2 linked regions of the Diceros bicornis minor genome follow. The protein of the gene in region 2 purifies or fractionates together with the protein of the main gene of each other region. This does not show direct contact. Links are inferred from orthologs where the notes say so. Each region holds a gene or a part of one and is shown on either strand. Other genes may lie near its edges. The genes, in order: CDK2AP1 and ZNF219.

Region 1 (16,093 bases), on a different chromosome or scaffold from region 2:
TTTCATGTAATTTTCACATGTCCCCAAATCATATTTTTTCACCACTAAAAACTGTAAAAACCATTCCTGGCTCATCAGCTGTAGTTTGCCGACCTATCCGCAATGTGCCCGATGCCCTCATGCCCCTGTGACCCCTTTACACCCTGCTATGACGTAAACTTGGCTAGCCCGGGCTCGGCTATTGGTCAGGGTGACTGGGGGACCAGCTGCTCGCCCAGGATATGCCCCGGAGCAGTCACTAGGTTATGTCCACGTGTTGACTTCAACCACCGGCTTGTTTGGGTGGCTGCAGACCACCTTTTAGACTCTGGGGTCCAGCATCTTCCCAGGGATTTCCGTTTGGGTAACCAGTCTCCAGTTGCCAGGACTCTTGCTTTGTCTGACTCTAGCTGTGCTGACAGCACAGCAATGCCCCCGACCCACTAGGTTGGATCGGGGATGAGCTCCATGTCTCCCCCACGCCCTCTTTGGTTCCAGACTCTAACTGCCAGTCCCTCCCCACGCCTGGGCCTGTTCTCACCCAACCCTGCCTCGCAGGCAGTCTCTTCACAAAGGCTTCATAAACAACAGGGAAGCCCACTGCTTTCCATGGGAGCCTGTCCCAGCCAGCGGGCCTATCGCTGTGGAGTCACGGCCTCGACAGCAGGCCCCCTGATGCCCCAGATTTATAGCCAAAGAATGTTCTTCTCTTGTTTTTCTCCAAAGTTGCTTCTCTAACCTTCTGAAGAATCCCTAAATCCCTCCTGCAATTAGATTCGCACACAGGCCACTGCTGCTCTGAACTGCCACCTTCTAAAATAGAACTCCTTTCTTCCCTCCACTGCCCTTCCCTCACTTCATGAGGTAGCAGCCTATTTCCCTTCCCTCTGAAGTCAGCTGGTCGGTCACATCTGCACGTGAGTCACTTCTTCTCTGTGGCATCCTCCTCCCGCCCTCCCTCCCTCCCTCTTCAACCATGAAAGAGCTTCAAAGGGTTCCCTCTCCCTCCCCAGATTAGGACAGACCCACTCGCCCACTCGGAGGGCGATGCAGGACCCCGTGACCCCGTGTCCCTGGCCTCACCCGGAGGAGGGAGCCTGCTGTATTTGGCCTCCACGGCTCCCTGGGACCAGTGTCGGTCAGCAGGAGCCGGGCAGACAAGAGACAGAGCCGCGGGATCCGGCTACCGAGTCCTTGTAAAGCCGTGGACCCCAGGAAGCGCGCAGGGCGAGGAAAGCGCACTGGCTGGGGCTGCCCTTCTCAGAAGCCCCACCTGAAGACAACTGGCCGCTAGGCACCTTCCCATCAGATCCCAAGGACAGCCTGCATCCCACAGACCCGCTCACCCCTGCCTGACGCCTCCACATCCCACAGTAATTCTGTGACAAAACGGGAGCCCCTGTGGCGTAGGGGACTCTGCCCTCCCCCGCCCTCCAACGTTTTCCCCAGAAAATCTTTCAAAACAGTTAAAGGGCCAGTGCTTTGGGGTCACCCAGCAGCGAGGAGGCCCCTGTCAGGCAGTCGGGGCCCCCGACGTACCGCGTTTTAGTCTCTCCATCGCGCTCTTGCTCCCTGCGTAGGTGGGTCTGATCTCTTTCCCCAACTCTTCAATGATGGCCAGCAGCTCAGCATATTTGCTTTGGGGCACCTGGCTATTCCCCGTTCCCTAGAATCAGAAAGAAAAGGGTTCAGATGAACTGAACCCTAACCTGACCCCAACACCACGGTCAGGACCCCACCACGTGCCAGCCACAGCGAGGGCAGGAGTGGGGAGAGGCCCGAGCCCGGGGCAGGTGGTGAAGGGGCGGCAGCCTGGCCCAGACTCCAGAGCTGCTGCCTCTGCTGGGGCCAGGCACGTCCCCTCTGAGGGACCCCTACCGACCAGCAGGGCAGCCCTCTCTGCTGTCCTCGCACACTCAAGGAAACCACCCCAGTCCCACAAAGCTCCTTCATCATCTCAAATTAAAAAACAGACTGGCTCGTCTCGACAAGGAAGGGTTCACTGAGAATTTCCTGAGACCCGGATGGACGGATGAGCAAGGACATCCCAGGGGCTGAGGGTCCAGAGCAAGTGGACGTGATAGAGGCCACACCTGGGGTCAGCAGGACTACAAATATCGCCAAAGACCATCGGACGGAGCCCAGAATGTGCTTATTTATATTTTATTTTTTTTGGTGAGGAAGATCAGCCCTGAGCTAACATCTGTTGCCAATCCTCCTCTTTTTGAGATGTTAGCCCTGGGCTAACATCTGCACCCATCTTCCTCTACTTTATATGTGGGAAGCCACCACAGCATGGCTCGATAAGCAGTGTATAGGTCCGCGCCTGGGATCCAAACCTGTGAACCCCAGGCCGCCAAAGCAAAGCATGTGAACTTAACCACTACACCACCGGGCAGGCCCCCCAGAATGTGTTTAAATTCACCCATCCTCCCCCAGGGGTAGGGCCCACCCCACAGAAACCCTTTTTCTCCAGACCCCCACCAACAGCCCCAAGCAGGCACCCAGATCAAGGAGGCTGGGTTCCCAGTGGCCTGTGGGCCAAGGCCACCTGCTCGGGCCTCTCTTCCTCCTCCTCCTCCTCCTCCAGCTACATCAGGGCGGCCGTTTCCCTCCAGAGGCCCTCGCCTGCTCCTCCCTCCTTCTCCGCCGCCTCTGTGTCTTGGCCCCCTGGTCCGTCCTCCTCTCCTTGGCCAGCTCCTCAGCATCCTCCCGGCGCCTCCTCTTGGCCTCCCGGTCCTGCCTCCTCTCCAGGCTGCGCCTCCCCCTGTCCTCCCACCGCCGCCGCCGCTTCTTCAGGCGGTCCCGCTCCCGGGCCCACTCCTGCCTCTCCTCCCAGGACAGAACGGCCTGGCGGGGCATGGCCAGGGAGCCACCACCTCAACCTGAGCGACAGCCCCATGGTGACCTCAGAACGTGGCCGAGTTCCAGCCACGGGAGAGAATCTTGCGGCTGATGCATGGCACCCAGGGCTGCACCGGGCCAGGTCCCTCCCCATGGCAGCAGTTCCCTGGCCGGTGCCGGCCGTGGCTAAAGCTATGGCTTACTCCACTGACGTGCCTACCAACCCAGGGAAGTTGGTACGAGTGTTAACCCCACTTGACTGTAGGAAACTGAGTCTCAGTGAGGTTGCCAAGTGGGGGTCACAGTCTCGTAAGTGGTGGCACCAAGTGTAAACCCAAGTGGCCTCACTCAGGGACCACCAGCTCTCCATGAAACGCATCTGGACTCCATGAGGAGACAGGCCCCAACCTCCTCTTTTCTGGGGCCAGACTTTGTGGGGACTGATGGGAATGGGGTCCCCCCTCCTCTGTCAAGCCCAGATCTAGAGTCAAAGTCAGGGCCTACCTTCCCAGGAATCAGGCACGAGGAGACCCACCAGGGATACACATCAGGTGGTGGCCCCAACAGGAACTGTGGCTCTCAGGGCTTCGGGCCTTCCCTGGGCTCTCCCACCCCTCCCATCTCTCATGTCCACCTCTCTGTTCTGATGCCAAGGCCTTGGGTTGAGGAGGCCCACATGACTGCTCCACTCTGTCATTTCTACTCCTCATCTCTTCCACCCACTCCCCTCCCCAGACGATGGGGAGCGTGTCCCCTCAGTGCCCAGGCCACCCCAGAGCCCCTCCCACCATGCATCAGCCCTGCTGCCATACCTGGGTGTAGCCTAGAGATGGTGGCCCGTAGTCACTCAACAGCTGGCGGTACTGTGAGGATGTTGCCATACTAGTGGAGGGCGGGTGGACGCTCCCAGCTATGGGGAAGGAGAGAAGAGTCAGGAATCACAATCAGGTAGCCTTGGCTAGTGGTACCCAAAGTGAGGACTCTGGGTCCTGCAACAGTCCCTCTGCCCAGGACCCATGCCATCAACAGTGGTCTTTTCACAGGATAGAGAACCGCTCCTGTCCTCTAGTTTGGTCGTGGCTGACACTCAGCCTAGATGATTGATAATAAAACGTAGCTAACAGGCCACTGCTCTTCACACCACCACAGCAGACATCGCTAATCAATCACAGAACTCCTTCCCATCCATGCAGTCAGGATTGGTACCAAGGATGAAATCTGCTGCTGTTCTCAGCCTAATCCTTGCTAGTACCCTTTCCCTGGGTTCTGCTCCCCAGAGGTTAATAACCTAGAGTCACATCGCTGTCACAAGAGCCCACCTGCTACTGAGGCTGGTCCACACTGGGGCTAGGAGGTCCTGTGTGCCCAAATGTCTGCTGGACTATATATGGTGAGGAAAACAGGGGGAGGGTTTGGAAGATCTGAGACCCAACCCTGGCTGGAGACAGTGCACTGGACTCAAAGTCAGGAATCTGGGGTATATCACAGCCTCCCTGTGTGTCCTCAGACAAGCCCCTCAACCTCTCTGAGCCCATTGCCTCCTCCCCAAAGAGGGGACAGGACTTTTGACAGTCTGATTCTACGCCTGGATGGCTCGCACCCCAAAAGAGGAGGGGTAAGGCCCTGCTTACGGACTGCAACACTCAGAGACTGTCCCTCAGCAGTGAGGGACTATGTGGGGCCAGGGCCCGGCTCAGAATGGAATCTCCTGGATGGGTATGGGAAGGTCCTCAGCAGGGAATTTTCCGGCTCCAGCTCAGTAGCTGGAAGCACGCAGACCCATAATGGCGCCCGGGTGGCCATTAGCGGGTAAAGGATGTCCTGCAGAATTACAAACAGCAGTAACCATGGAGAATTTACCTAGCCCTCCTCGGCAGCTGCCCGCCTGCCTCCACGCCCGGCTGAGGAGTAGCTCCCCCTCTGCCTGCCTCCCCCAGAGCCAAACGGTCTCTCTCGCACGCACACAGCAGGCTGCGCAGACTTGGCCCTGGGGATGGACAGCTGGTGCCAGGATGGCCAAAGCGACCAGCTGCCCATCTGGTGTGGGCAAGGGGAGGGGCAGGGGAGGAAGGAAGTTCAGGAGCTCAGGCAGATGGAGCTGGAAGGGGCCCTAGAGGGCCCTGGAGCCCCTCCCTGTAGAGAAACACAGACCAGTGAGGGTAGGCGTTGCCCCAGGCCACACAGCACAGGAGAGGCCAACACCCCAACGCCCGCCCCTCTGTCTGGGAGCTGGGGACAGCTTGGTACCCAAGACGTCTTCCTCCGTCACAGCCCTGCCCTGGATCTCCCCACAGGGGCCTAGGTTTATGCTCAAGCACGGGACACCCAGTCAGGAAACACAGAATTCTGCCACCTCTAGGCTGGGAACTGGGCACATCACTGTGCTGCCCGGAGCCTCAGCTGCCATCCGCCTGCGCTGCTGGAACGTGCTGCTCAGGACAGGGACACACTGTGAGCATGTCTGCGACCTCCGTCCAAGGCAGCCGCGGGTGCACAGGGGCCAGAGCAGAGGGATGGGGCAGGGTGGGTGTCCCCCCATGCTCCCCTCCACATCAGCCAAACCCCAATTTCCTGAACATTCTGATGTGGGCAGTGAGCATGGTCTGGGTCGCTCAGGCTTCGCAGCCCCAGACCTGGGTTCCAATCCTGACCACGGCAAGTTATCGCACCCCTCTAGGAGGCCAGGATGCTAAATGGAGACTGGGGGGGTGGGGGCATGTATCACTGCACTGCACTTCACTGTGTCTGGAAGATTTCACTCCCTGGCAGGAGGTGAGTCCTCCTCCTCTGGTTGCTCTCTTTACTGAGTTCCCGCCTCCCTGACCCGTCTCCTCTCCTATGGGCACAGGCCTGGACTAGGGGCTGGTCTGGCTGAGCCTGACACACCTGGCTGTGAGACCTTAGACAAGGCCCTTCCCTCTCTGGGCCTCAGTTTCTCCATCTGTTTGAGGCAACGTTCCCAGCAGAATGCCCAAAGGCTCCAGATCCTGCTCTTACATGGTGCTGGGGTTAGGTCTTGGGGGGCTAAGGGAGAGGGTCGAGGAATGAGAAATCGCCTGGTTTGGGGTGGGGGAGGAGCTGGGCAACAGCTCAGGCACCTGGGTGACGTGGTGGGAGACCCCGGTTCTGTGCCAGTGCCCATCCGTTACTCTGTGTTGAGAGGGGGGTGTCTGTGGTCCTGGAGAGAGTTGGCAGAAGGGCCCCGAGTTCCACTCGTGCCCACTCCTTCCTGCAGGCACAGGGAGGGCCAGCGGGTCGGGCTGCAGGAGGCCAGGGAGAAAGCCAGACTGGGTGTGAGCATGGCCTTCTTGGAGCATCGCAGACAATGCGTGCAGTGTGCGGGGACCAGGGAGGGCCTGGAGCCGAGGGAGGGATTGGCAGAGGCCAGCAGCTCCTGGGGCCAGGCGCAGCTCCCCGCCCCCACGCCAGACAAAGAGCGGCCTGGGCCTGGGGAGCTGGCGGCCTTCCCGCCACTTGGGGCGCCTGGGGGGGCGCTCTCCGGCAGGGAGGCGGGGGCTTTGTCTAACTCAGCCACTGCCACCGCCGGCCAGGCCGCGGCTTGGCAACCCGTGAGCAGGAGGCAGGGCTGGAGGGCGTGAGGGATGATGACAAGGAAGCCGGAGGAGCGGCTGCGGAGAGTCCATCTTGGATGCAAATGGCAGGGGGAGATCAGGGCTTCCTAAGGGGTCCACGGGGAGGGGGGAAGACCCCCCCAAAAAAACACCAGAGATCTGGGGACCTCAGCACTGCTCCTGGAATTCACCACAGGAGAAAGAAGAAAACCTGTGTACAGGTGCTAGCCAGACTAGAACAGGGCTTCAGGGGTTCTGAGTGGGTGCCCCTGTCACTCTGTGACCCCAATCCCCAAAGGTCCCAGTTTAGGGCTCTTGCCCCAACTATACCAGGGCAGGCCTGCGAGTTCCCCTCTGTCCAGGCAGGCAGCCAGACCTCCACCCCTCCCACCTCAGAGACAGATGCAGGAGGCATCGAGAATCCTACCTGGCCACAAAGCCTGTCTTGGTGAGGTCTGCAGACCCCAGAGGAGGTGGGGACATCAGAGAAAACAGTGGCTGTTTGCTCTTGGGGTTCAGAGCCCACATCTGACCAATTCAACTATCCCCCCATCCGCACCCTGAATCTTAACCCTTCCAATCCCCAAATCTGTGTCCAAGAAGTTAAAAAATATATGTGTGTGTGTGTGTGTGTGTATACACACACACACACACACACACACATATACATATGGCTTTTCTGGGTCCCTCTTCAGATTTTTGGAGTTACGGAGTCAACGTTTGGAGACAAGGCCCCAAACTTGCGGCCAACTGCCAACGTGGCATTTCTGACCAACAAGGCCAATCCCCTCCCCAAGGCCTCTGCCCCCCCCACCCCCAACGCGCCTCACTTTTTTGCAAGTCTGTTTCCAACCAAGTGTCTAAAGGAGAAGGACCCTGGTGAGCAGACAAAGCCGGTTACCCCTGAACTCCACGATTTTACCTCCCCCCCGATGTCTCCCTCGGTCCCTGGGGCAAGCCCCTGGGCACAGCCTGAAGCTGCCGAGCAACTTTTGAAGGAGTTTCCGGAGACCGCCCCGCTCCAGCCCCGAGGGGAGAGGATGGCCCCCCGGCTTCTGCAGGAGGGGGCCTTCTAGGTCCAGACTGGGGGCTCCGCGATGCGGGGCCCGGGCTGAAGTGCAGCCCCCATTCACCGCCCGCAGGCACTCAGAAGCCCCCGGTCTTCTCCAACTGCTTTCACTCTGCGCACGCCTGCGGGGTCCTCCCTTGTGCCCTGTTCTGGGACCCCCGCTCCCGCGCGCCAGGCCGAGCCCCACGGACGAGCCAGTGCCCTGCACCGCCGGTGACCCCAGCCACCCCGCGCCCTCAGGAGCCGCTGCACCTGGCACGCCGCCGCCCCCCAGCCCTGCCTACGCGTGCCCTGGTCCTGCACACGTGCACCCCTGCAGCCGGGCCCCCCGCCGGGCCTGCCCCCGGCGCCCCAAGGGCAGCCCGAGCCCCGAGCCCCGCGCCCCGCGCCCCGTGCCCTGCTCCCGGCGCGGCCCGGCTGCTCCCCACTCCCGCCGGCAGGGGCCCTCGCCGAGCCGCCCAAAAGCCGGAGGAAAAAGGAGCAGAGAAAAGCCTCCCCCGCCCTCGCCCGCCGCGCTCCCCGCGAGCCCTCGGCCGCCGGCGTGGGGGGGACGGCGGGGGCCGCCCGCGCCCCGAGCCCCGGCGCTGGCCCCGGCCCACCGCGGCGCGGGGCGCACCCGCGAACTTTGGCGGCGCGGGCGCTGGAATCATGGCGGCGGCGGCGGCGGCCGCGCTGCCCCGGGCCGGGACCCGGTGCCCGCCGCCCCCAGCCGCCGCGGGCCCCCGGGAGCCGGGGCCGGGGCCAGGCGCGCGGGCCTCCAACTTGGCGGCACTTGGGGCGCGGCGCGCGCGGCCCGCGGGGCGCACCCACTCACCGGCGTTGAGGGAGGCGGCGGGCATGTGCGCGGTCAAGTTCGGTTTGTAAGACATCCCCCCGAGCGGCGGGGCGCGCCGGGGCGCAGCGGGGCCAGGCCCGCGAGGGCGGCGGCGGCGGCGAGGCCGGGCGGCGGCGAGGCGGCCCCGGCGTCCGTGCGCCCGTCCGTGCGCCCGCCGAGCTCCCGCGCACTTTTTGTTGTTGACGGCTCGGGCCGCACCGGCAAATATGGCCGTCCCTCACCCTGACACCCGCTGCAGTATATCACCCATACATCGGGCGGGCGCGCGGGCGCAGGGGCGGCCGCAAACTTTGAGCGGAGCCAGCGGGGCCGGCCCGGGCCGGGAGGGGGCGGCCCGGCGCGCCGCGGCCCGGCGTCAGGGGGTGGCTCCGCCCGCGGCCGCGCCCCGCGCCTCCGGGCGCGCTCGGCGCCCGCAACTTGGCAAAGTTTGGGGGGCTGGGGTCCCGGCGGCGCCCGAGGCCCGCGTGGGTCCCTTGCTTCCTCCTCGCTTTCAGCGCCGGGAGATTTGCTATTTTACCGCTTAATTTTTTTTTTTTAATAGCTCGGTAGGATTGCAGAATTACTTTTTTTCCCCTTGATTGTGGGGGCAGGGATGGAAAATTACCTGGAGAAAATGGTGGCGAGTGGTATTTTTAAGCACATAGATCATTCCAGACGCCGAGGTCTGGCTACTCCCCAGAAGAAGAGCAACCAATTCTTGACATTGATTTCAAATAAATTTCATGTCCCTGTCTGTGTTCAGTGGTTTTTAACCCTTTGGGGGCCTAGACTCCCTTGACACTGACAAAAGTGAGGGGCCTCCTCCCCTGCAAAATTCACCCTCGCATCCACATAGTTTTGCATCTTAACTCATTCAAATATTTAAGAAGCGCCTACTGTGTGCCGGCAGGGTTCCAGGCGCTAAGGACACAAGAATGAACTTGGCAAAGTTTCTACTCTCCTGGAGTTGGCATTATAATTTTTAACCCTCCCTCGACCCCACCCCAGCCCATCCTCAGATCTGCCTGAAGCGCAATCATCAAACATTTTGGATTAGATGACTAAGCTTTTGAAGGTACTGCTTCTTGGAGTTCTGCTTAAATAGTAAAGCTCGTCAAACTACAAGATACCCACCCTTTTCTGCCGTTTTTAATTGCCATGCTTTGCAGATGTTTAAATTAGAGACATTCAGACACATCTGGATCTACTGAGGAGGGCGTCAACCTCTCCGCCCAGGAGAGAAGGGATACCACCCATGCCTTCCCTTCCGATGGAAGGTGCAAGTGACACCCCCTCCCCAGCTTAACGAGCACCTCTGGTGATCAGCTTTAGGCTAGCTCAGCCAAGAGTGCCCAGTGAAATTTCATTTCTTGAATAAATTAATGACACCCCTTTCTACCCTGCCTCCAGGGGCCCAATACTCTAGAGCAGCATTGTCCAGCAGAAATATATTACAAGCCACATATGTAATTTAAAGTTTTTTAGTAGTCACATTTTAGAAAGTAAAAAGAAACTGGTGAAATTCATCTTAATAATATATTTTATTTAACAATATATCCAGAACAGTATGATTTCAATATGTAATGAATATAAAGAAATTATTAAGATACTTTATGTTCTTTTTATGGTACTAAGTCTTCAAAACCCAGCGTGTATTTGACACTCACAGCTTACCTTAATTCAGACCAGCCACATGTCACGCGCTCAGTGGCCACAATAGCTAGCAGCTTCCTATTGGACAGTGCAGGGCTACAAGCTACAAGCAGGGGGCTCATAAGACAGACACACCTGGGTACTAATTCTGCCTCCACCACCTGTTAGCTGTTTGACTAGGCCTCTGTTTCCTTGGGGCAAGAATCCAGATCTCAGTGGCCTGCGCTGATCCCTTCTATGAATTTTCCAGGCTATTCTCTTTCAATACTGCATTTTTTACCACATCGCCCATCCCCCTCACTTTAAGTCCCGATTATCACTGAAAAAAATTTTTTCCTTTTGTTTTTAATTGAGATATAATTCCTTTAGCATAAAATTCATCCTTTTAAAGTATACAATTCAGTGGGTTTTAGTATATTCACAGAGTTGTGCAACCACCACCACTATCTAATTCTAGAACATTTCTGTCACCCCAAAAAGAAACTCCATACCCAATAGCAGTCATTTCTCATTCCCCACTACCTGCAGCTTTACGCAACCGCTAATCTACTTTTCTGTCTCTATGTATGTGCATAGTCTGGACATTTCATATAAATGGAATCCTACAATATGTGACCTTTTGTGTCTGGCTTCTTTCACTCAGCATAATGTTTTCAAGGTTCATCCATGTTGTAGCATGTATCAGTACTTCATTCCTTTCTATGGCTGAATCATATTCCACTGTATGGAGAGACCACATTCTGTTTATCCATCTTGATGGACATTTGAGTTGTTTCTATTTTTTGATTATTATGGATAGAGCTGCTATGAACATTTATGTACAAGTTTTTGTGTGAACATGTTTTCAGTTCTTTGTGGTATATACCCAGGAGTGGAATTGCTGGGTCATATGGTAACTCTATGTGTAACTTTTTTTTTTTTTTAATTTTATTTTCCCCCCAAAGCCCCAGTAGATAGTTGTATGTCATAGCTGCACATCCTTCTAGCTGCTGTATGTGGGACGCGGCCTCAGCATGGCCAGAGAAGCGGTGCGTCGGTGCACGCCCGGGATCCGAACCCGGGCCGCCAGCAGTGGAGAGCGCGCACTTAACTGCTAAGCCACGGGGCCGGGCCGGCCCCCTCTATGTGTAACTTTTTGAGGAACTACCAAATTACTTTCCTTCCTGGCTGCACCATTTTGCATTCCCACTAGCAGTGTATAAGAGTTCTAATTTCTTCATATCCTCAGCAAGCCTTTTATTATCTGGCTTTTTTGTTTTAGGCATCCTAGTGGGTGTGAACTGGTTTTGATTTGCCTTTCTTTAATGGATAATGATATTGAGCATCTTTCCATGTGCTTACTGGCAATTTGTATATCTTTTTTGGAGAAATGTCTATTTCAATCCTTTACCCTTTTTTAATTGAATTTTTTTGTTGTTGCTTTTTTTGGTGAGGAAGATTAGCCTGAGCTAACATCCGTTACCAATCCTTCTCTTTTTGCTGAGGAAGATTGGCCCTGGGCTAACATCCATGCCCATCTTCCTCTACTTTATATGGGACGCCACGACAGCATGGCTTGATAAGCAATGCGTCGGTGCGCGCCCGGGATCTGAACCTGCGAACCCCAGGCCGCCAAAGAGAAGCTCGAGAACTTAACCCCTACACCACTGGGCCAGCCTCCTAATTGAGTTTTTTTTTTAACGTTAAGTTGTAAGAGTTCTTTATTCTGGATACTAGTCTGTTCACAGATACATAATTTGCAAATATTTTCTCCCATTCTGAGTTGCCTTTTCATTTTCTTGATAGTGCCCTTTGACACATACAAGTTTTAAATTTTGCTTAAGTTCAACTTTTTTCTTTTGTTTGTTTGTGCTTTTGGTATCATATCTAATCCAAGGTCACGAAGATTTTTACCTGTTTTTTCTTTGAAGAGTTTTTATAGTTTTTGTTCTTACGTTTTGGTCTTTGATCCATTTTTAGTTAATTTTTGTGTATGAGGTGAGGTAGGTCCAAATTCATGCTTTGCATGTGGATATCCAGCTGTCCCAGCACCATTTCTTGAAAAGACTATTCTTGGGGGCCTGCCCGTGGCTTAGCGGTTAAGTGCGCACGCTCTGCTACTGGCAGCCCCGGTTCGGATCCCAGGCACGCACCGACGCACTGCTTCTCTGGCCATGCTGAGGCCGCGTCCCACATACAGCGACTAGAGGGATGTGCAGCTATGACATACAACTATCTACTGGGGCTTGGGGGAGAAAAAGGGGGAAAAAGAAAAAGAAAAAACTATTCTTTCCCCATTGAATGGGTCCCACACCTTTGTTGAAAATCAATTTGATGGTGAATATGAGGGTTTATTCCTGGACTTTCAATTCTATTCCATTGATCTATCTGTCTATCCTTATGCCACAACACACTGCTTTGATTACTGTGGCTTTGTAGTGAGCTTTGAATTCAGAAAGTGTGAGTGCTCCAACTTTTTCTTTTTCAAGATTGTTTTGGTTATTCTGGGTCCCTTGCATCTCCCTATGAGTTTTATGATCAGCTTGTCCATTTTTGCAAAAAAAAAAAAGGCAACTGGAATTTTAATAGAGCTCATATTAAATCTGTGCATCAATTCAGGGAGTATTGCCACCTTAACTGCATGCTGTCTTCCAATCCACAAACGCAGGATGTCTTTCCATTTATTTAGGTCTTATTTCTTTAATTCAACAATGTTTTATAGTTTTCAGTGTAGAAGTCTTATACTTCTTTGGTTAAATTTATTCCCAAGTATTTCATTATTTTTGGTGCAATTGTAAGTAGAATTGTTTTCTTAATTTTTGGATTGTTCATTGTTAGTGTATAGAAATACAACTGATTTTTGTATATTGTCTTATATCCTGCAACTTTCCTGAACTCACTTATTAGCTCTAGTAGTTTTTTTGTGTCTGTACGTAAATTCTTTAGGGCTTTCTGTAGTGAGATCATATTATTTGCAAATAGTTTTACTCTTCCCTCCCAAATGGGATGTCTTTATTCCTCTTTCTCGCCTAACTGCCATGACTGGAGCCTCGAGGACACTGTTGGATAGAACTGGTGAGAGCAGGCATCCTTGTCTTGTTCCTGATCTTAAAGGGGGGAAAGATTTGTTTTTCACCACTATGTTTGATGTAAACTGTGGGCTTTTCATCGATGCCCTTTATGAAGTTGAGGAAGTTCCCCTCCATTCCTCCAGTTTGTTGTTCTAGCATGAAAGAGAGTTGGATTTTGTCAAATGCTTTTTCTGCATCTGTTGAGAAGGTCATGAGTTTTCTCCTTTATTCAACAAATATTTATTGAGAGTCTTCCAAAGTGTCAGGCACTATTCTAGGGGCAGCAGGGCAAGACAATCCCCATGTTGTCATGAAGCTTATTGTTCTAGGCATGGCAGCCACATTTAGCTATCCCCTCATACCCCACCACACTGGAGCCATTTCCTTACCCCTAGCCTCCCACTAGTTCTTATTCTTCAGACCAGACTGGGTTATGACCCTGGTACTGGTTCATTCCCACATCTGAACTTTCATTATACCAACTTGCCCTTGTGCTCCACTTGGCAAACTCCTGCTCATCCTTCAAAGCCCAGCTCAACCATCCCCACCTCTGAAAAGTCTTCCCTGGCTGGCTGCCCCTCTGTCAATGCCTGCTATGGCACTTAATCCGGTCTGTGTCCTTCATGAGGCTGAGCTTCTTGAAGGAAAGAACTACATTCTTGAAGGTTCCAGACAGGCACATTGAGCCTTATAATGGCCTCAAAGTGCTCCTAGAAATGAGACAAAGTGTGATCAGCTCTCCTCTGCAGGAAGGACTCCTGCTCTCACCATTCTTCCTGCTCACAACTCTTTCCATAACAGATGTCTTAGTTTCCTGGGGCTGCCATAACAAATTACCACTAACTTGGTGGCTTAAAACAACAGAAATTTCTTCTCTCACAGTTCTGGAGGCCAGAAGTCTGAAATCAAGGTTTTGGCAGGGCCAGGCTCCCTCCAGAGACTCTAGGGGAGGGGCCCTCGCCTCTTCAGCTTCCAGGGATTCCAGGTGTTCCTTGGCTTGTGGCAGCATCACTCCCATCCTGCCTTCAGACAGCCTTCTTCTCTATGTGTCTTCTCTTCTCTTCTAAGAATACTTGTCATTGGATTTAAGACCCACCCTAATCCAGAATGATCTCGTCAAGACCTTAAATAGTTAACATCTGCAAAGACCTTTTTTTTTTAAAAAAGGTCACATTTACAGATCCCAGGTGGACATATCTTTTGGCGGCCACCATTCAACCCACTACAACAGGCTTCAAAAAGGATCTGGATTGTTTTCCCTTTCTCTTCTTCCTTCTCTAAGAGTTAAAACCCCTACAAGGGGAAAGAAATATTCCTAGTGGCTCCACTAACAAGCATCTGTATGAAACTCACTCAAATAGGCACCTTTTAATGAGGAGTTTCCAAATGATCCAGAATGGTTCCCTAATAGTTTAATGGGCATTTCACAGAGTGGCTTGCCAGGGAGCAGAGCAGATGAATGAAAGAGAGAGAAGGGGGAGCCCAGGGAAAGAGCTTGGCATGGAAGAACATCAGGAGACGAGTTTCAGCTGTGGATCCACCATAAACCTCTCTGTAGGCCTCACATCAGTTGTTTAAACTCCCTGGGCCTTAGTTGCATCTGTGAGACTAGGGAGGTTTGATGGGATGGAGCTCTAAGAATTCTCGAAATTCTAACATCCTAAGAAGGCAGACAAACAACACACATGCCATTTTCTCTAATGAAAAAACATCAGCCCAGGAAGGCCTTTGAAACATTTGGAACTGTTTCCATCACTGGACAACATTCTGGGGCAATCAGCTCCCAACTGGGGTGCACCTGCCCAGGTGGTAAGAAGGGTGACTCAGAAGAGTGAGGGACTATTAGAACTTCTATTTATGTGGGATTTACCATGTACATATTAGCACAGTAGCACATATATAAGTTACAAATAACTTCCTAAACAGTAGTGGAGGTATGCTCAGAAATTTTTTTTTTTTACTTTTTATTTATTTTTTTGGTGAGGAAGATTGGCCCTGAGCCAACATCTGTTGCCCATCGTCCTCCTTTCTGCTTGAGGAACATTGTCCCTAAGGTAACATCTGTGCTAGTCTTCCTCTATTTTGCATGTGGGACGCCACCACAGCACAGTTTCAATGAGCGGTGTGTAGGTCCACACCTGGCATCCAAACCCACAAACACCAGGCCACCGAGGCAGAGTGCACAAACTTAACCACTACACCATCAGGCCAGCCCGGTTTTTTTTTTAATTGGAATATGTGACCAAAAATGTTTGCAGACCACTGACCCAAAAAACTAGTTAAGTAGATGGCCAGACCTAACAGTGTGACAGCCAGACAAGTTGTGGGTGAAGTGTCTTGATTAGCCTGTCACAGTTAGGGATTCCAATGTGGTTTATGTCTTCAGGACAGTAAAGCCACATTTATATCAAGTTGGGTTTTGATCAGAGGTCCACTCCCAAATTTCTTAATTTTCAATTATGTTTCTGCCATCACTCCTGTGTTTAGACTAGGAGCCAGCATGCTTTTCCTGTAAAGGGTCAAATACTAAGTACTGTAGGCTTTGCGGGCGGTATAGTCTCTAATACACAGCTCTGCCACTGTAGTGCTAAAGCGGCCTGAGACAATACGTAAAAGAATGGGCAGGACTGGGTTCCAATAAAACTTTATTTATGAACACAAATTTGAATTTCATGTAATTTTCACATGATACAAAACTTCTTTTTTTCCAACCATTTAGGAAAGTAAAAATTATTCTTAGCTTGCAGGATCAAAAACAGGTGGTGGACTGGATTTGACCGGCAGACCAGTTGGCCAGTCTGTTTTAGACCACAAAAGTTTGTTTCTTAAGGCTGATTCCCTATGGGTAGAACAATAAAAATGGGATGTGCAAGCATGTGAGGACATCATGACCCCATCTTCATATCCATACCTCTGAATGAGAAACACACATGCAAAAACACCCAACTGTGGGAACAGAAAACTAAAAGAAACCCAATATTAATGCAGGAATTGAGAGCACTGTCTCATTTATCTTGATCTATGACTAGAGATGAAAGGGGGAGATGAAAGGGGGAATTCTAGTGGCCTCCTATTGCTCTAATCAGTGGGCATCTACACAAAACACTTAACT
Region 2 (15,549 bases):
AAGGCGGCCCAAATTGAAGCTAATTCCCAAACAGGGAAAGTTTCCCCGGGGGGCGGCGGGGTGGGGGGAGGGCTCAAATCAACAAAACCCACTGAGAGATCCTCCTAGGCCTAGTCAAGATCTCTTGAATCATCTCTACACCAAACCAGGTCCCAGGCGCCTGATCCCATGAGTTTTTCTCAATAGGAGAAAGCACTGACAGGGCCCAAGATCTGTGAACTGGCCTGGAACCCAGGTCATGCCTGTGGGCAATAATCACAGAGTTTTCTAGAGTCAGGCCCTAAACACTATCCACGAGACTTAGCCAGACAGTAGCAGTGACCTACTTTCCACCCCCACTGGGAATCAGGGGCTATCTTGCCCTTATTTGGGTTCTATAGGGATGCAGGGCCAGGGGTAGGGATCAGAAATCTTTCCAAAGCAGCAGGCCAATTACTTTTAGGTGCTAGGAGAGCAGGTGGGGAAGGGGCTGTGGACCATCAAACCTTACTGAGTAGGGAAGGATGGAAGGGTTGGTGAGAAGACTCTTGGAAACAACAGGGACAGGTACATAGAACCATCTGCTGACTGGAGGACCACAAAGATTGTCCCTCAAGCCTTGTAGTTCAAAAGTTTTTAGGGTCAGAGTGTATGGGGTAAGGGTTCAGGACTTCTGAGGTATAGTTGTGACTAGGTTCTGTCTCTGGTCATCTCTGATGCTTGATGCTTTTACCTCTGTTGAGAATCCTACACCTCCCAAGTCTGCTAACAATTATGATTAACACTGCACTAGATGGGGTTAAAAGGAAAATGAACTTCTTAGGTGGTCTGGGGTCAAGACCACCTTTATCACTCAGACATGCCAGTAGCTCACTTTTATGGTCTCCTCTCCATGGCCCTCTGAAACTCACTGCTCAGGTGGCTCCTCCAAACTGACTCCACACCACAGCTTGCCCACCTTTTAGACTGAGTTCTTGGTAAAGCCTCCTTCCCTCCATCCTCACTGTTCTGAGTTGGGGGCATGGGCCTCAGTCATGGACTCCAAATGTACAGCAAGAGGTGAGAGGAAGGTACACCTGCTCACCTACTGCCGCCCCACCATGGTGAATCTTATCCCAGAGGCATGTCCCAACTTGACCCCTCTTCTGAAAGTTCTGGAAGACCTGGATTTGGGGGAGGGGGCATGTGGCCAGCCCTAAGTCCCCTAAACTGGAGCTGATCCTAGAAAGGTCAGAGTCTTAGCACCCACATGAACCTCAGTCCTCAGATTAGGGGTGGGGGGCTGGGCAAGAGAGCCTCTGGGAAAATCTCCCTCCCAGAAGTAGGTTGGCCAAGTAGGGCAGGACCTGTGGTCCCGCACAAGAGGTTCTTCTCGCAGCACCCCAGACCCCTCCCGGGGAAGATAAGCCAGAAGGATGATGGGGGGCAGGGTTGGGAGCTTGGGAGGCCAGGGCTCAGCTACCCGGGCCGGGAGAACAAAAGCTGAGTTGCAGCCGCCTCCGCTGCTGCCGCCGGCCGAGCTCTTTGTGACACTTTGTTTGGGACGCAGAGAGGGAAGCACCCCCCATCCTCTCCCCTCCCCCACCCTCGCTCCCGGAGAGTTTGGGTCCCTTCCCCCTCCTCCATCAGCCCTACCTGGGCCGGGGGGCGCTCATCCACTCGGGCTCCCAGATCGGCCACCCCGCACCCCCAGGCCCCTCGCGCCCTGCCTTCGGGCCCCTACAAAGACGCCCACCGACCCCCCACCCGCGCTGGCCTTTCCCCTTTGGTGTCCGCTTTCCCGGCTCCCCCACCTGGCCCCCCCCTCCCTCGAGGCCCCCCTAGCTCTCCAGGCTTCCGAGGCCGCCGCCCCCACCCCGCCCCCCCAGGAGCTCTGGGCGAAGTTTGCTTGGGGCCGAGCCGGCGCCCCTCCCCCGCCCCCGCCCCCTGCACCTGCTCCGAGCCGGGCGCGCGGAGCAGGCCCCCCCTCCGGGAGGGGGGGAGGGGGCCGGGGGCGGGGGCCGGGTGGCGGAGGGGGGGCCGGGAGTGGGGGGAGCGGCTACTCACGAGCCCCGGGCGGGCGGCGGCGGAGCGGGCGGCGGCGGCGGCGGCGGGCGGCGGGCCGGCGGCGCGGGCGTCAGCGTTACGTGGGGCCGGGGGAGATGCGCCGGGCCCCGGCCCCCCCGCCCCCGGCCCGGCCCCCGCCCCCTCCCCGGTCCCCCGCCCCCGGCCCTGGCCCGCATTGTGTGCGGCGGGAGGCGGCCCGGCCATTAGCATGCGGGGGGCGGCGCGGCGGGGCTGGGAGCCGCGCGGGAGCGGGAGCGGGGCTCTGGCTCCGGGGACAGGGAGCTGGGGACCCCGGGAGCCGCGAGAGGCGGCCGCCAGGGGCGGGGTGCGGGCAGTTTGGAGACGGGGGGCGCTGTCGGAGGGAGGGAGGGAGGGAGCGGGGGTGGGGCGCACAGACGATTCCAACAGGAGACTGGAAGAGATTTTGAAAGGTCATCTCGTCCTTCCCCCAGCCTCCAAGCAGGACTGCCCCTCCCACCCTAAACCCGGACATACCAGGGAAGGAGTTGGCTCTGCCGCTCTTTCTGCCCCAACATGCACAGACTCGGGAAGTTCTTCCTGGGGTTTTATCTCAAAGCCTCTCCCTTACAATTTCTGTGTCTCTTTTTGGGGAGGAGGAGGGGCGATTATAGAGATAGTTAATGTCTGCCGTATAAGAAACATCATTAAAGTTACTCTTCGGTCCTTTCTGTTCTTGATTAAACAACAATTCCTGCTCCTTCCTCTCGAACTCTCTTTTCCATTCCTTAAGTCACTTTAATGGCTCTTCAGTACAACAAATATTTACTGAGTGCTTACTAAGTACCAGGCACTATGCTTGGCGCTGTGGGGGATGAGCAGATGAGGGGGATGTAGTATCCTCCATCAAGGAGATTGTAATCCAGACAGGGACTACACATTTGTGCGTAGTATATTCAGATTTAGTCAATATTTACTGAATGCCTGTTCACATATTTAATGGTATATAATCCTTACAATAACACTCTGAAATATAACTAGTCTGCACTTAAGGTAAGAAAAACGAGCCTAAAGAATGTCTTTCCGTTGGCCTACCGGCTCAGGGGTCCTCGGTGCAAGCCTAACATCTGACACTATGTCAGGCCATCACCACCAAATACAGTTAATGCACCCGGGGATCCAAGAGGGAGTAGACACACAGCAGTTCCCAGGGTCCCTTTAAATGTGATTCCCACTCCCCAGGAAAGAAGAGTGGACACAGTGCTCCAGTGAGTGTTGGCCCAGCACTGAGCAGGGCAGAAGTGGCTTACAAAGAAAGCTCCTTGCCTCCTAGGACCCTGCCTCCTGGTACTAATTCCCAGGGGTCTTCTGGCTCAGCCTTCTTCTGTCATCAATAATAATAATGATAATAGCCACTAACATTTATTGAGTGCTTTGCCAGGTGCTGGGCTAGGCTGATTCATATGCATTTTCTCTTTTAATATGTACTCAAGGCAACCCCTTGAGACTGGTATTATTAACTTCCCTTTATAGATAGGGAAACAGAATGATTAAGTAACTTGCCCAAGGTCACCCAGGTAGATCTGGGATTTGAACATAAGTCTGGTTGCTTCCAGACCTCAGGCTCTGCACCAAGATGGGCCTTTCCTATTTTTGATCTTTAGAGTATATATGTTCTGCTTCTTACTGTAGAAACAAATGTCCCCAGCTTTGCATCTGAATAAACCCTGTAGTATATGGGCGTCAGGCACATCAGTATGACTTCATCAACACCACTAATGGTCATTAAACACCCACCATGAGTCAACACTTCACAGTCATATTATTAGCCACCGTTTTAACACTCAGTTTGAACAAACTGAGGTTCAAATAGATAGAATAATGTATCCAAGGTCACACAGCTGGGAAAGTGGCAGAGCTGAGATTCCAGTCCAGGTCTGCCTGGCTGCAAGGCAACTTCTATCTCTCAGAAATATTAATTGTTGCAATACTGTCCTTCCCAAGACTGGCCATTTGGGGACCATCTTCTGTACATGTCTAACTGCAGGTTATCACTGAGTCAAAAGCAATCCCCTCTATAAATAGGGCTCCTCATCCACCTAGTCCCATCCAGAGTAAGTCCTTCAAGAAAGGAAGAAGAGAAGAGAAACTGTCCAGAAAGTGAGGGAAGGAAGCCAAGGGAATTAAACCTTGCCTGGTCTTGGGACAAAGCTGCAAGTGGTAATGACAGGGGACCAATCCAGACGGTAATATGGGATTTCCCTAGGGAACAACAAGTAATTTGAGGAGGATGCCAACAGAAGAAGAAAGATTAGATGGAAATGGGGGGAAATTGGGGCCTAGGGTGGTAGTGTCCATGGGGATGAGGTGAGTATTCAGAAGAGGGACCCAGGATGGGCAGAAATGGGGGCAAAAGGAAACGAGAACAGAGCGAGGCAGGGCTGGGAGTCTTGTGGAGTGAACTGAGGCTGGTGTCTACCGACGGCCACTCCCTGGATCCTTAGGCCCTCATGGGGACCTTTGCCCCACCACACCCCAGTTCTGACAGCGTGTCTCTCCCAGGACAAGTCTGTCATCTGCTCTGAGCTACCAGGTCCTGCCAGGAGCTTCAGGCCCAGCTGTGTCCCATCTCTTTTGGAGGAGCTGCTTCAGACTAGGTAGGTGTGAGGCCCTGAGCTTCAACTCCCTGGATATTGGAAGTGGGCAGAGGGGCAGCTGAAAGAAATGTTGCTGCACGTCCTGTCTCCTGATAGGTGTCATAACTCATTTTTCCTGGCCTAGGAAGCACTGAGCTCCATTGGTCGAGGGAGCCATGGAGGAGAGAGCTGATCAACGAGAGCAGGAGAGACCCAGCCTTCGTCTGGAAAAGCTACAGCACTGGGCAAGGCATAGGTGGAGTGGGCACCTCCTGGTGCTGGCGGTGAGGCCAGGCTGCCCCACCCCAAACTTCAGCATGTCCACTTGTAGCCCAATTCAATTCCATCCATGTTTAGTGAGCACCCACCATGTGCCTAAAACTGTGCTAGGCTCTGAGTGGGAGGAGGGGGGTGGAGGAAGCATAGAATAAACAAGGCAAGACCTTTAATCTCCAAGTAGCTTCCATCATTTGGGGAAAACACATAGGTAAGTAACTAAACTGTGACATGAGGCAGAAAAAAATAATGCCCTCTCCCTTCACTGCCCTTGGTTGAGTACTTTCTGCCACCATGCATTCCTCCCAATTGCTGACCTCTGGAAGAGGAGGGGTTGACAGGAGGGAAGGGAATCCCTGACAGTTCCCCAACTACCCTGCATCCGGCCTCCAGGTGAGCCAGCTATGGCTGGCAGTGGCTGTGGTGCCCTTTGCTGTCTCAGTTGCTTGCTTGAACTCTGCCTGTCATATGGCCACAGCACTGCCACTTGGGCCTGGAGCATTGGTAAGACCCACCACAAGGGAGGATGGAAGGTCCTGGGGGCCCCTCTCTAATGGGGCCAGAGCTCAACACTTGCCTTTCTCACCATTCAGGGTCTCCTCACTGGGATTATTACCCTTGAGCTGCGCAGAGCACCCCGCCTCTGGAAGGTGAGAGGGGAAGAGAATGCAGTACTATTCTCCCACCCCCCAAAACAGACACACACACTCTCAGCCCAGGAAGTGGCTAAGTGTTGACTAATCCTGTCAGATCTCTGCCCCTAACTGGCCTAAAAGATTCAGGAGGGAAAGCAAGAAAGTTAGAGGGCTGATGGCCCTGTTTGGAGGTGGAGGAATAGGAGCTGAGTTTTGTTTTCAGCTAGGCTGCAGGTGGGGCTTGGGGTTCCAATGCGTCCCCTAGGCTGGACAGGGCTGAGCTGGCTCACTGGCAGGTGCGGGCCATGATGATATTCAACACCTTCAATCTGATCTTGGGCTTCATCGCAGTGGTGGTCGAGGTGATGAAGACAGCCTTGGGGCCTGCCTCAACTGCCCCCTCCCAGGTACGGGTGAATAAAGGAGAAGGTGGGAGGATGAGGAGGCAAGAGGAGACGGAGAGAGAAAAGGGCATGGGCAAACAGATGCTGGGTCCTCTGCAGCATCCTCAGCCCTGTCTGCCTACAGCTGGCCGGCTTGCTGGTGCTGGAGCTCAGTGCTGAGGCCTTCACCCTAGGAGGAGTGCTGGTCTCAGCATACTCCCTGTTCCTGCTGAGCCAGAGGAAGCCAGGATGCTGCAGGAGCCAGAGTCAGCACTACCAGGAGCTGCAGGAGGTAATGAGGGCTGGGAGGAGAGTTTGGAGCAGCTAGCTAGCAGCTCATTTTTTCACTGGCTATCCTGGTCAGTGGTACTTCAGGGAAAACAAGGGGACAGAGGGGAAAGGAAGGAGTCCTAGACTGAAACTGATTGGTTTTCTGGCTTTGGACATTTCTCCCCCAGTGGTGGGTAAAAGGGAATTGGGTATCTAAATGGTTGGGGCTAGAAATGTGGGAGAGCATTGGGAAGCTGCCTAAGTAGTGGAAGGGCTACAGGAACATGAGAAGAAATGGCAGAGGAGGAGGAAGTTGCTTCTATCTGGGATTCCTCCTTTCTCACCCCTACAGTTTGCTCCCCTCACACCTCTGTCTGGTTTTTAGGGTCTCTCTGAGTTGGAGGAAGTTCCTGATTTGGAGGATGGTCCCAGGGTGGCTAGCACAGCAAACGGAACAAATGAGTGAGCTGGCAAGGGGAAGCAGACAGGTGCTGCTCTCCCGCCCTGCGGGAGCGTTGTCCAAACTCTCCTGCACCCCACCGCACTGAACTCAGAAGCTAGAAGGAGTCCCTTGAGACCTACATGAAGTCCAGCGGAGTGCCTTCGATTTTCACTCACACTAGGCCCCTTTCTAGACTGTAGACCAGAGTCTTCCCTCACCTCATCGCCCTGCAAAGCTGCCCGCTTGCAGAGCATCCTTAAGCCAACTTTGAGCTATGCCCACTTCTTCCCTTCCATCCTTACCCTCCTTCCCCACCGCCTCCCTATACAACTTCACATCTGCCTCATCTCACTATTTCTCTTCTTTCCACCTTTCACAATCCCATCCACTCCAGGCCCGGTTCCTGGAAACGCCTACTCTCTGAAATCAATTCATGGGTGCTTCAGTTCTCTCCCTTCGATCCTTTCTACTGTAACGGAGACTACAAGTCCCAGGAGGCCCCGCTGCCCCGTAGCCTGCTGGGAAATAAAGGGCCTTCCCTCCGCGGTGGGGGCGCTGTGCATCTGCTGAGTGACGCGAGGCGCTGGAAGTTGGGGCCTAGCCGAGTTTCCTCGGACGCGACCACTGGCCTCGTGTGTAGGGAGGAGCGGGGCGGGTTATTGTGCGTGGGGGCGCGACATCCCAACCTCGGCAACTGAGAGCTCACTGTGGGCCCCCACCCTTCCCTCTGGCAGCTTCGGAGACTGGCAGGGGCTGGAGGCTGGCCCTCTGCAGAGCTGGGGTTTCCCAGATGCTGTCGCCGCGCCCCCACCCACCGTGCCCAGGTCCAAAGTCCTGAGACTTGGAGCGCGCGCGAGAAAGGGGTTGGAGATGATGAGTCAGAAGCCTAGGGCCCTTCTCGTCCCCCTCCCCCGAGGCCTGGGCGCCTGAGGAGGACAGGCTCGCTGGGCAGAGGGGTGGACCGGGCAGGAAGAGGGAGGGACGCGGCGACCCGACCCAAAACTTTCCCGCCTCTTGCGAGCACGCGGGTGTAACGAGCCCGCGTTGCCGCCGCCCTTTCTCTCCAAGGCGGGAGCGGGACTGCGCAGGCTCGGCCTCTCGGCAGCCCCGCCGAGACCTTTGATCCCCCTGCAGTCCGGTTCCTGAAGTCTGGTTGCGCTCAACCCCCACCATTTATGACCTTTGCAAGTGTGCAAAGATGACAAGCTCAGGTGGGCTGGAGAAAAGCCCAGGAAAACTGGGAGACCCAGTAGCAGCAGCCGGGCAAGTTACTAGCCGCTAGAGAAACTAGAAATTGACCAGAGCTGGAGTACTGAGAGAACTCACCCCAAATTCACATAGTGCCCAGGATGGTTGTGCGCCTCACACTCATTTTTGTTCCCACTTGAGAAGGCTTCTTTCCCTAGAGAATGCTGCTTCTCCGGGCTCAGCCAAGCCCAGGCACCAGTGAGGAAAGAGCGCAGCCTGGCTGCCTGGCCCTGACATTGCAGTGGTGCCAGCGGCAGCCCCTTTCTGTTTGTGACACCTTGGGAGTGGTAATAGTCGCCCTATGACAAGGGTATGTGAGTACTAGTGGGTGGAGACAATTCTCTAGGATTAGGCTCTGGAATGGAGAACACAAGATCTGGGCCTCCCCCTTCCCCTCCTCCTTCCAATCTATCTGCCATAATGGAGAGCTCAAGTGTGAAGGACTCAGAAAATAATTTTCTTCAAAATCAGAAGGTGGTAGTAGATGTGGGGGGAGGGGCAGGGAATCAATAATTTGCTGTCACCCTCTTCCAGAGAAGAGCAAGAGCCTTTAGCGTTATGATCAGAAGTCTAGGATTTGCATTCTAGTTCTTGGAGAAGTTCAATGACCATGCAAGTGAACCTTGTGTCAGTCAGGTTGGGCTAGGCTATATTGTGTAACAGTGCCCAAATCTCAATGGCTTAAAATCACAAAAGGCTTATCTCTCACACTGCATGTCTAGGGTAGTCTGGCAGAGGGCTCTACTCATTATAAGTTATTCAGGTACCCCAGCCATGGAGCACCACCATTTTGAGATCCTACCATGTCGCCATGAGGCTTAGAGCACCCCCCCACCCCCACCCCAGCCGTGTGAAGTAAGAGTGAAGAATTGTTCATGGGCTCTTAAATGCTCTGCCCCAAAAGGGACACATATCACTTCCATTCACATTTTGGTGGCCAAAGCAAGTCATATAGCCACACTCAACTTCAAGACAGCTAGAAGGGCAATCTTTTCATATGCCTGGAAGGAGAAGGAAAGCAGAAATACTTCATTAAAAGAAGAAGAGTTCATCATTTGTGGTGATTCTCGAACAGCTTAGCAGTTGGAACTCATCCATTCCAGCAGTTATGCCCATATCTACTTTTTGGTTTTGTTCCATGAACCACTAAATCAAGTTCTTAATAGAAACTTTTCCCAAAAAAATAATAGGCCTGGGAATCAGGAAAACTAGATTCTGGTCTTGTTGTGTAAGTTTGGGCAAGTCAAACGTCCCTGAACTACATTTTGATTACATGGAGATTATAATCATAGTATTTATCCTCTCTACCTTACTGGAGTATCAAGGCTAAAATAAAATCACACATTTCGTTTGGAAAGGAAAAATACTTTAAAACTATAAAGTGCTTCAGAGGTTGAAAATAAATTGCCTATGGGGACAAGGAGTAGTGTAAATGAATAAAGCAGATTGGGTATGTATGAGGTTATAATAGAGAGTGGTGGGGACTGTGGCAAACGAGAGAGCACACATTCTATTTAAAGACCTTACCCACACTCAACTCCATCCAATTATTGCCACGTGGGACTGTGGGCCTGGTATTGCCATAGTTCCAATTTTCCTGTAAAAGTCAGAAATTCTGACTTTTTAAATGTGAAATCTTCTGATTTTAAAATGTTAATAACTAACTTTTTAAAAATTGAGAACCAGATTCAGCCTATAGTCCTTCAATTATAGTCTCTCCGTTATACAAACATATGGTAGGAATTTGGGTTTGGGATGTGCAATACGGTTCTCATAAGCCTTCGAGATGTCTTCTGAAATTCAAGAATCTTGGAGAGGTTTAACATTACATTCTTAAAACCTTTTTATCACATCCCTCCACCGCATTCATTCTCAGGGAGAGGGCATTTTGCCCCCCAGGGATTATTTGGCAATGTCTAGAGACATTTTTGGTAGTAACAACTGGGGCGGGGGGGAGATGTAACGGAAGGAGCATTAGATGAGAAGTCAGAGGATTGGAGATTTAGTCTCAATGCTATTGATGCCCCTTTCCTGTGCATTATCCTCTCCTAGCTGTAAGTAAAAACTGCCTGAGGACTGTCCTGTGATCCTCATTATTCCCGCACCACGCTCCCCATTGCTGGAGTCCCCAGCTGCTCCATGAAAGCATTCTGCTTTGCTGCAATGCTTCCCAGCAACCACTGTATCTGCCCCTTTCTTCATCAGTTTGGCAACCTCTGTGGAAGTCACTCATATTTTACTTGAACTGCTGCCCACTGGAACTTCACAGAAAGAAATGACTGGACAATGTTCCTCCTGACGTCAGTTTTTAAAGGCCTTGACCCCTATCCCTTGCTTTAAGCATTGGAGAAATATCCGATTCATATGTGGCTTCATATGCAGCTGAATTCTGTGGTGGTTGGGACATGTTGATAATTTTATCCTCGTTTCTTTGAAATTCAGTCATTTATTCTGGCCTTAAATACATGATTATAGGCAACGGACGGTATTTCCCAAAAGAAATATCCACTTTGCAAATGATTCTGGTTTTGTGTCCTGGGCTGTGTCCTCTGCTGCCATCTCGTGGCCTCTCTTCGCGGCTGCCCGGGTCCAGGTCTCACAAAGAGCCTTCCCGCGAGGTAATGGCGTATGGCAGTGGCTAAATTGGAGAAAAAAATCTCTGCACGCTGCCGGGCGCTCCCCGAATCCTTCCCCTGCAATGAGTGCACCAGGGCAGCCGCGCGCGCGGCTGCACCTCGCGAGGAGGCGGGAGGCGCGGGGCCCTTCCGGGTCATCCTCACCCCCTTGGGCCTCTATGTCTGTCTGTTATGCAATCCTGGACACGAGCCACAGAAATCAGTGAACTAACTACCGGGGAGTAATCGGAGCTGACCTCGCCTGCTTGGCCTGATGAATGCTCCGCAGCCTCTCGCCACACGCCACCTGGGGCTGGGATCTTTTTTTTTAAATTTTTGTTTAATCTCAGTGAGAAGAGAAGATTCCCTCGTTGGGTTTCTGGATTTCGTTTTCTTGTCTGGGACCATTTCGTGTTGCTGTGTCAACGCCCTTCATCTCGGTTTGCCCAGCCAGTGCTGCCTCAAGTTCGGTATTTGACTGATGGGTTAAGCAGAACAGTGGCAGTGTTTCCTATAAATATGGCGGGATCTGTGCACTGTAGCGATCAGAGGTCCATCTCCAGGGGACAGGGAGTCTGGGAGACTGCCGTGAGCTGGGTTACTGGCCACTGAGCAGTGACTCCGTGCAGGAGGGAAGGCAGGAAAACATTTTTACTTGGCGCCAATTTTTTTTCATTATAATAATGTGTTAAAAACCTTCCAATTGCTAAAGCAAATTTGTAGAACTATCCTTCAGTTGTTAGCTCCCCGTGTGTGCTTTCCATATGTTTAGTTTTTTATGGAGAGCCCTGAATCTACTATGCCCTCATTACGCCTAACCCCAGAAGAGGAGAGGGAAGAGGAAGAGGAAGGAAGAGGAGGGGAAGGAGGAAGAGGAGAAGAAGAAGAAACTGCTGCCTTAGTGTTTGTTTTCACCTGCTTTCTCTGTATGAAAATTCAGGGGAAAGGGGGGCCTGCCTGGTGGTGTAGTGGTTAAGTTCTCCGGGTCTGCTTCGGAGGCCCAGGGTTGGCTGGTTCTGATCCTGGGTGTGGACCTACTCACCACTCCTGAGGCCTTGCTGAGGTAGCCTCCCACATAGAAGAGCTACAACTCTTCAACTATGATACACAACTATGTGCTGGGGCTTTGGGGAGAAAAAAGAAAAAAAATTGGGGGGAAAGGGCCTCCTTGTATAATTTCCTAGGGCCTCAAGCCAGGGACTGGCTGCTACTAAGCTGGTGTGTGTTGCTTCTCTTTAAAATTCAGATGCTGTTTACTTAGTAGGAGCATCTTCTGTTTCTTTTGTTTTTCCTTCTTTGCCTGTGTTTTTTCTGCCTTATTTCATTTATATTTTATGTTGCGTGTTATTCTTGATTCTACTTATCATCTGAATCTTTGGTTTCTTTTTCTTATCAGACACTTTTCCTGTATTCTGTCCAGAGTGAATGAGTTGTCTTTGTTGATCCCTGTCTGTTTTTCCTTGCCTTTGTAAAATTTTCTTCTTTAAAATGCTTTTCCTCAAATCCAAGCTCCAAGATATAATTTCATTTGTTTGGCATCTTTATAATTTTGTGCTCCCTTTATGTGTAAAGAAAATGCTGTGCATTTTTAAGGAAAATCTTATGGTTTCGGTAAAGCGAGAAGACTCAAAGTCATGGCATAGAAGAAACAGGATTGATGTCTTTATAAATCTCAAAGATAATTATGATGAAGAGAAACTGTTCTTTGTGAAGCGAAGAAGTGAAGTTGGGTCCAATGGTTACTTGTTATGGAGAGGCCGATTTTAGACCAAAAAAGGGAAGAAACTGAACACCTTTCCAAAGATGAGCTGCTTTGAGTTGGCCTCTCAAACTCTGGATGTGTTAGAGGTGTTTTGTGCAATGCACTTCTGCACTGATAGGTTGTTGAAGCAAGTATTCAAATATCAGCTGGATGGTTGGAGTAGATGACCTTTAATTTCTTCTCCAACACTAGGATTTGGTTTCTCAGCAGTGGTGGTGTTTTTTAATTGACCCGTCCATACTCTCTAATCGGAATGACTGGCCCTAGGCAAAATTGTAAAGTATTCTTCTAGTCCTTAGAAGAGAGTTCATCAACCATGGCACTGCTGACATTTGGGCCAGACCATTCTTTGTTTTGGAAGACTGTCCCAGGCGTTGTAGACTGCTTTGCAGCATCCCTGGCCTCTAACCACCAGATACCAGTAGCACCCCTCCCCCAAGTTGTGACAACCAAAAATGTCTCCGGACGTTGTCAAATGTCCCCTGGGGAGCAAAATAGCCCCCTCCTTGAAAACCAATGCCCTAGAGAGAAATGATAAGAAAGATTTCAAGAACTTCTTTATGTCTAATTTCTCCAAGATTCTTGTATTTAAAGAGACGTACAAAGACCTACAAGAAGCTTATTGCACATCCAAAACCGAAAATACTCCCCTTGTATCTGCCGCCTACTCCCTCTTCTGAATTTTCAGTCTTATCTGGTGTTATCATTTGGACACACAAGCTGAATGCTAAATTCCTCTCCCTTGTTTCCTATAGCCAAATACTCATCACATTCTATAGATGTTCCTGCTGCTCTCGAATCATCCTCTTCTCATCACCACCACTCCTGCCCCAGTGCAGGCTCTCATCTAGATCACAGAAAAAGCTTTCTAAATAGTTTCTATGCCTCCAGGCTTGTCCTCCTCAGATACATCTTCCACATAGCCACATAAATGTGACCATGTAGCTTCCCTGCTTAAAAGCCCTCCAGTCGTCCCCATCACCTATAAGATCAAGTCCAAGCTTTTTAAAACGGTTCAGTGACCCCTGTGATCTGGCCCCTGGCTGCCTTTCCAGTGTCATCTCCCACATCCCCTCCCTTGCACTTTACTCTTCAGTGACAGCAATCTGAGGAAGGTGGCATGGGCATGCAGCCTTAAAATTTTTTTAAATTATTAATTAATATGTATGATAAACACTTTCACCCCATCTTTGAGCTTCACGCTCTCCCTCTTCCTCTTTTTTTCTTTTTGATTAGCCCAAGGATGATGATGATGACAGCTCTGACTCATGGTGGGCTGGGTGGAGGTCAGGGCTGTTTGTTGCGCACATTAGTGAGAAGTCAGAACAATGAAAACACTAGTGGGAAGTCAAAGCCATATCACGTCAAAATAGCTAAGTCAAAACATCTGACTTTGGCACATATATTTCTTACTTCCATACCTTATTCAAGCTCTAGTATCTCGTCCTCCCCCCAAACCAGCCCTTTGTATTGCTAACTGCTCCTGATCCTTTATGACTCACCTCTGTCCTCGCCTACTTTCCTGGCCTCTCCCACCACCGCCAAGACTGTACTCTTCAATGCTCCCTTAGTGCTGTATACATAGTTCTATACTTACAAGATTTTATTATGAGGCGGTCAGAATACGCCACCCCGAAATATGCCAATTTAGCATAAGGATTGTTTTGAGCTGAAGGCAAATAAGAAGCAGCAAACTCAGAAAGAGCTCTCCACCCTCCCCCATCTGCCTAAAAGTAGGACATAAATTTCCCTTTGTGAAGGTCTTCCCCCTCCCCGCTCCTGTAGCAGGAGGAGTTATTGCCATTATCACTGCAGACAGAGAGTCAGCACTCTGAAGGGTCTGCACAAACAAACCTCACTAAAATAGCCCTGATCCTCCATCAATTCTCCCATATATTTACTTTCCCACAATTTACCACCCCTAGAAGCCCAAACCCGCTTCCCTTTGTCTTGTGACTTCTCCACAATTTCTTACCCTTTGTTAAAATGGTATATAATCCCCTGTGTCTAATCACCTCTCTGGGCCTTCATTTCTTTTCTATGGAGACCCTTTGTGCGCATAGAAATTAAAATATTAACATCAAATAAAATTTGTATGCCTTTTCTCCTGTTAATTTGGCTTCTGTCAATTTACTTTGCAAGCTCCAGCTACTAAACCTAAGAGGATAGAGAAAAGGATTTTTTCCTCCCCTACAATTGAAATTATCATTTATGTGCCCATCTCTGAGGCAAGAACTGTGTTTTATTCATCTTTATAACTCCAGAACCTAGCCAAGTGAATGGCATATAGGAGACATTCAATAAGTGTCTACCGAATGAATGCATAAATAGACTAAGTCAGAAGGAAACTTACAAGGCTTTCTACTCAGCATAGAAACTCTTGTGCAACATCCTGGCAGACGTTCAGTCTCAGCTAAAACATTAACAGTAATGGTGCCACTGGAGAAAATCGCTCAAACACGGCAGCTGGTGCCACAACAGATTCATCATCTCAAACTGCAACTAGATCCTAAAGGCTACACAATAATACTGCTATTGGAGCCCTCAATTTCCACAGCTGCAACTTCAAGTTTGTTACCTGGTTCTCAATAGTCATTCCAAAGTGCATCTGGAAGAATAAAGAAATGATAATAATGGAAGGAAGGAAGGAAGGAAGGAAGGAAGGAAGGAAGGAAGGAAGGAAGGAAGGAAGGAGGGAAGGAAGGAAGGAAGGAGGGAGGGAGAAAGGGTGGGAGTACTCTTACTCTAACAAGAAGAGTAATAAGGTGAGACTTGGTCTATCAGCTATTAATGTATATTAAAGATAAAAAAACTAAGACAGCATGGTATCAGCACCAGAATAGACAGATAGATGAATGGAACAGAACAGAGAGTCAAAAAGAAGCTCAAGAGCTGGCCCCGTGGCTTAGCGGTTAAGTGCATGCGCTCCGCTTCTGGTGGCCCAGGTTCGGATCCCAGGTACGCACCGACGCACTGCTTCTCCGGCTGTGCTGAGGCCGCGTCCCACATACAGCAACTAGAAGGATGTGCAACTATGACATACACCTAACTACTGGGGATTTGGGGGAAAAAAAAAAGGAGGCAATAGATGTTAGCTCAGAGCAGGTCTTCCTCAGCAAAAAAAGAGGAGGATTAGCATGGATGTTAGCTCAGGGCTGATCTTCCTCACAAAAAAAAGAAAAGAAGAAGCAGCTCAAAGGCCAGCCTGGTGGCATAGTCATTAAGTTCGGCATGCTCTGCTTCTGCTGCTCGGGTTCACTGGTTGGGATCCCAGGCATGGACCTACACAACTCATCAGC

Evidence for each region.
Region 1: the proteins of ZNF219 (region 2) and CDK2AP1 purify together in Homo sapiens (affinity purification with mass spectrometry; 3 studies listed by BioGRID and IntAct, counting the BioPlex papers as one, with this or other methods). This does not show direct contact. The link is inferred for Diceros bicornis minor from reciprocal best matches to the Homo sapiens genes ZNF219 and CDK2AP1.

The regions. Positions count from the first base shown.
Region 1 is NC_080774.1:7,093,497-7,109,589, reverse strand, and holds the start of CDK2AP1 (cyclin-dependent kinase 2-associated protein 1), read right to left. Parts: upstream 8,555-16,093; 5' UTR 8,334-8,554; coding exon 8,279-8,333; intron 3,734-8,278; coding exon 3,636-3,733; intron 1,646-3,635; coding exon 1,519-1,645; intron 1-1,518. UniProt on the Homo sapiens protein: Inhibitor of cyclin-dependent kinase CDK2. Also acts as a component of the histone deacetylase NuRD complex which participates in the remodeling of chromatin.
Region 2 is NC_080744.1:28,178,644-28,194,192, reverse strand, and holds the start of ZNF219 (zinc finger protein 219), read right to left. Parts: upstream 8,071-15,549; 5' UTR 7,952-8,070; intron 7,324-7,951; coding exon of another isoform or gene 7,072-7,323; intron 6,650-7,071; coding exon of another isoform or gene 6,569-6,649; intron 6,206-6,568; coding exon of another isoform or gene 6,059-6,205; intron 5,938-6,058; coding exon of another isoform or gene 5,827-5,937; intron 5,546-5,826; coding exon of another isoform or gene 5,489-5,545; intron 5,400-5,488; coding exon of another isoform or gene 5,289-5,399; intron 4,904-5,288; coding exon of another isoform or gene 4,796-4,903; exon of another isoform or gene 4,765-4,795; intron 4,641-4,764; exon of another isoform or gene 2,496-4,640; intron 2,359-2,495; exon of another isoform or gene 2,026-2,358; intron 1,143-2,025; exon of another isoform or gene 1,064-1,142; intron 39-1,063; exon of another isoform or gene 1-38. UniProt on the Homo sapiens protein: Transcriptional regulator. Recognizes and binds 2 copies of the core DNA sequence motif 5'-GGGGG-3'. Binds to the HMGN1 promoter and may repress HMGN1 expression. Regulates SNCA expression in primary cortical neurons.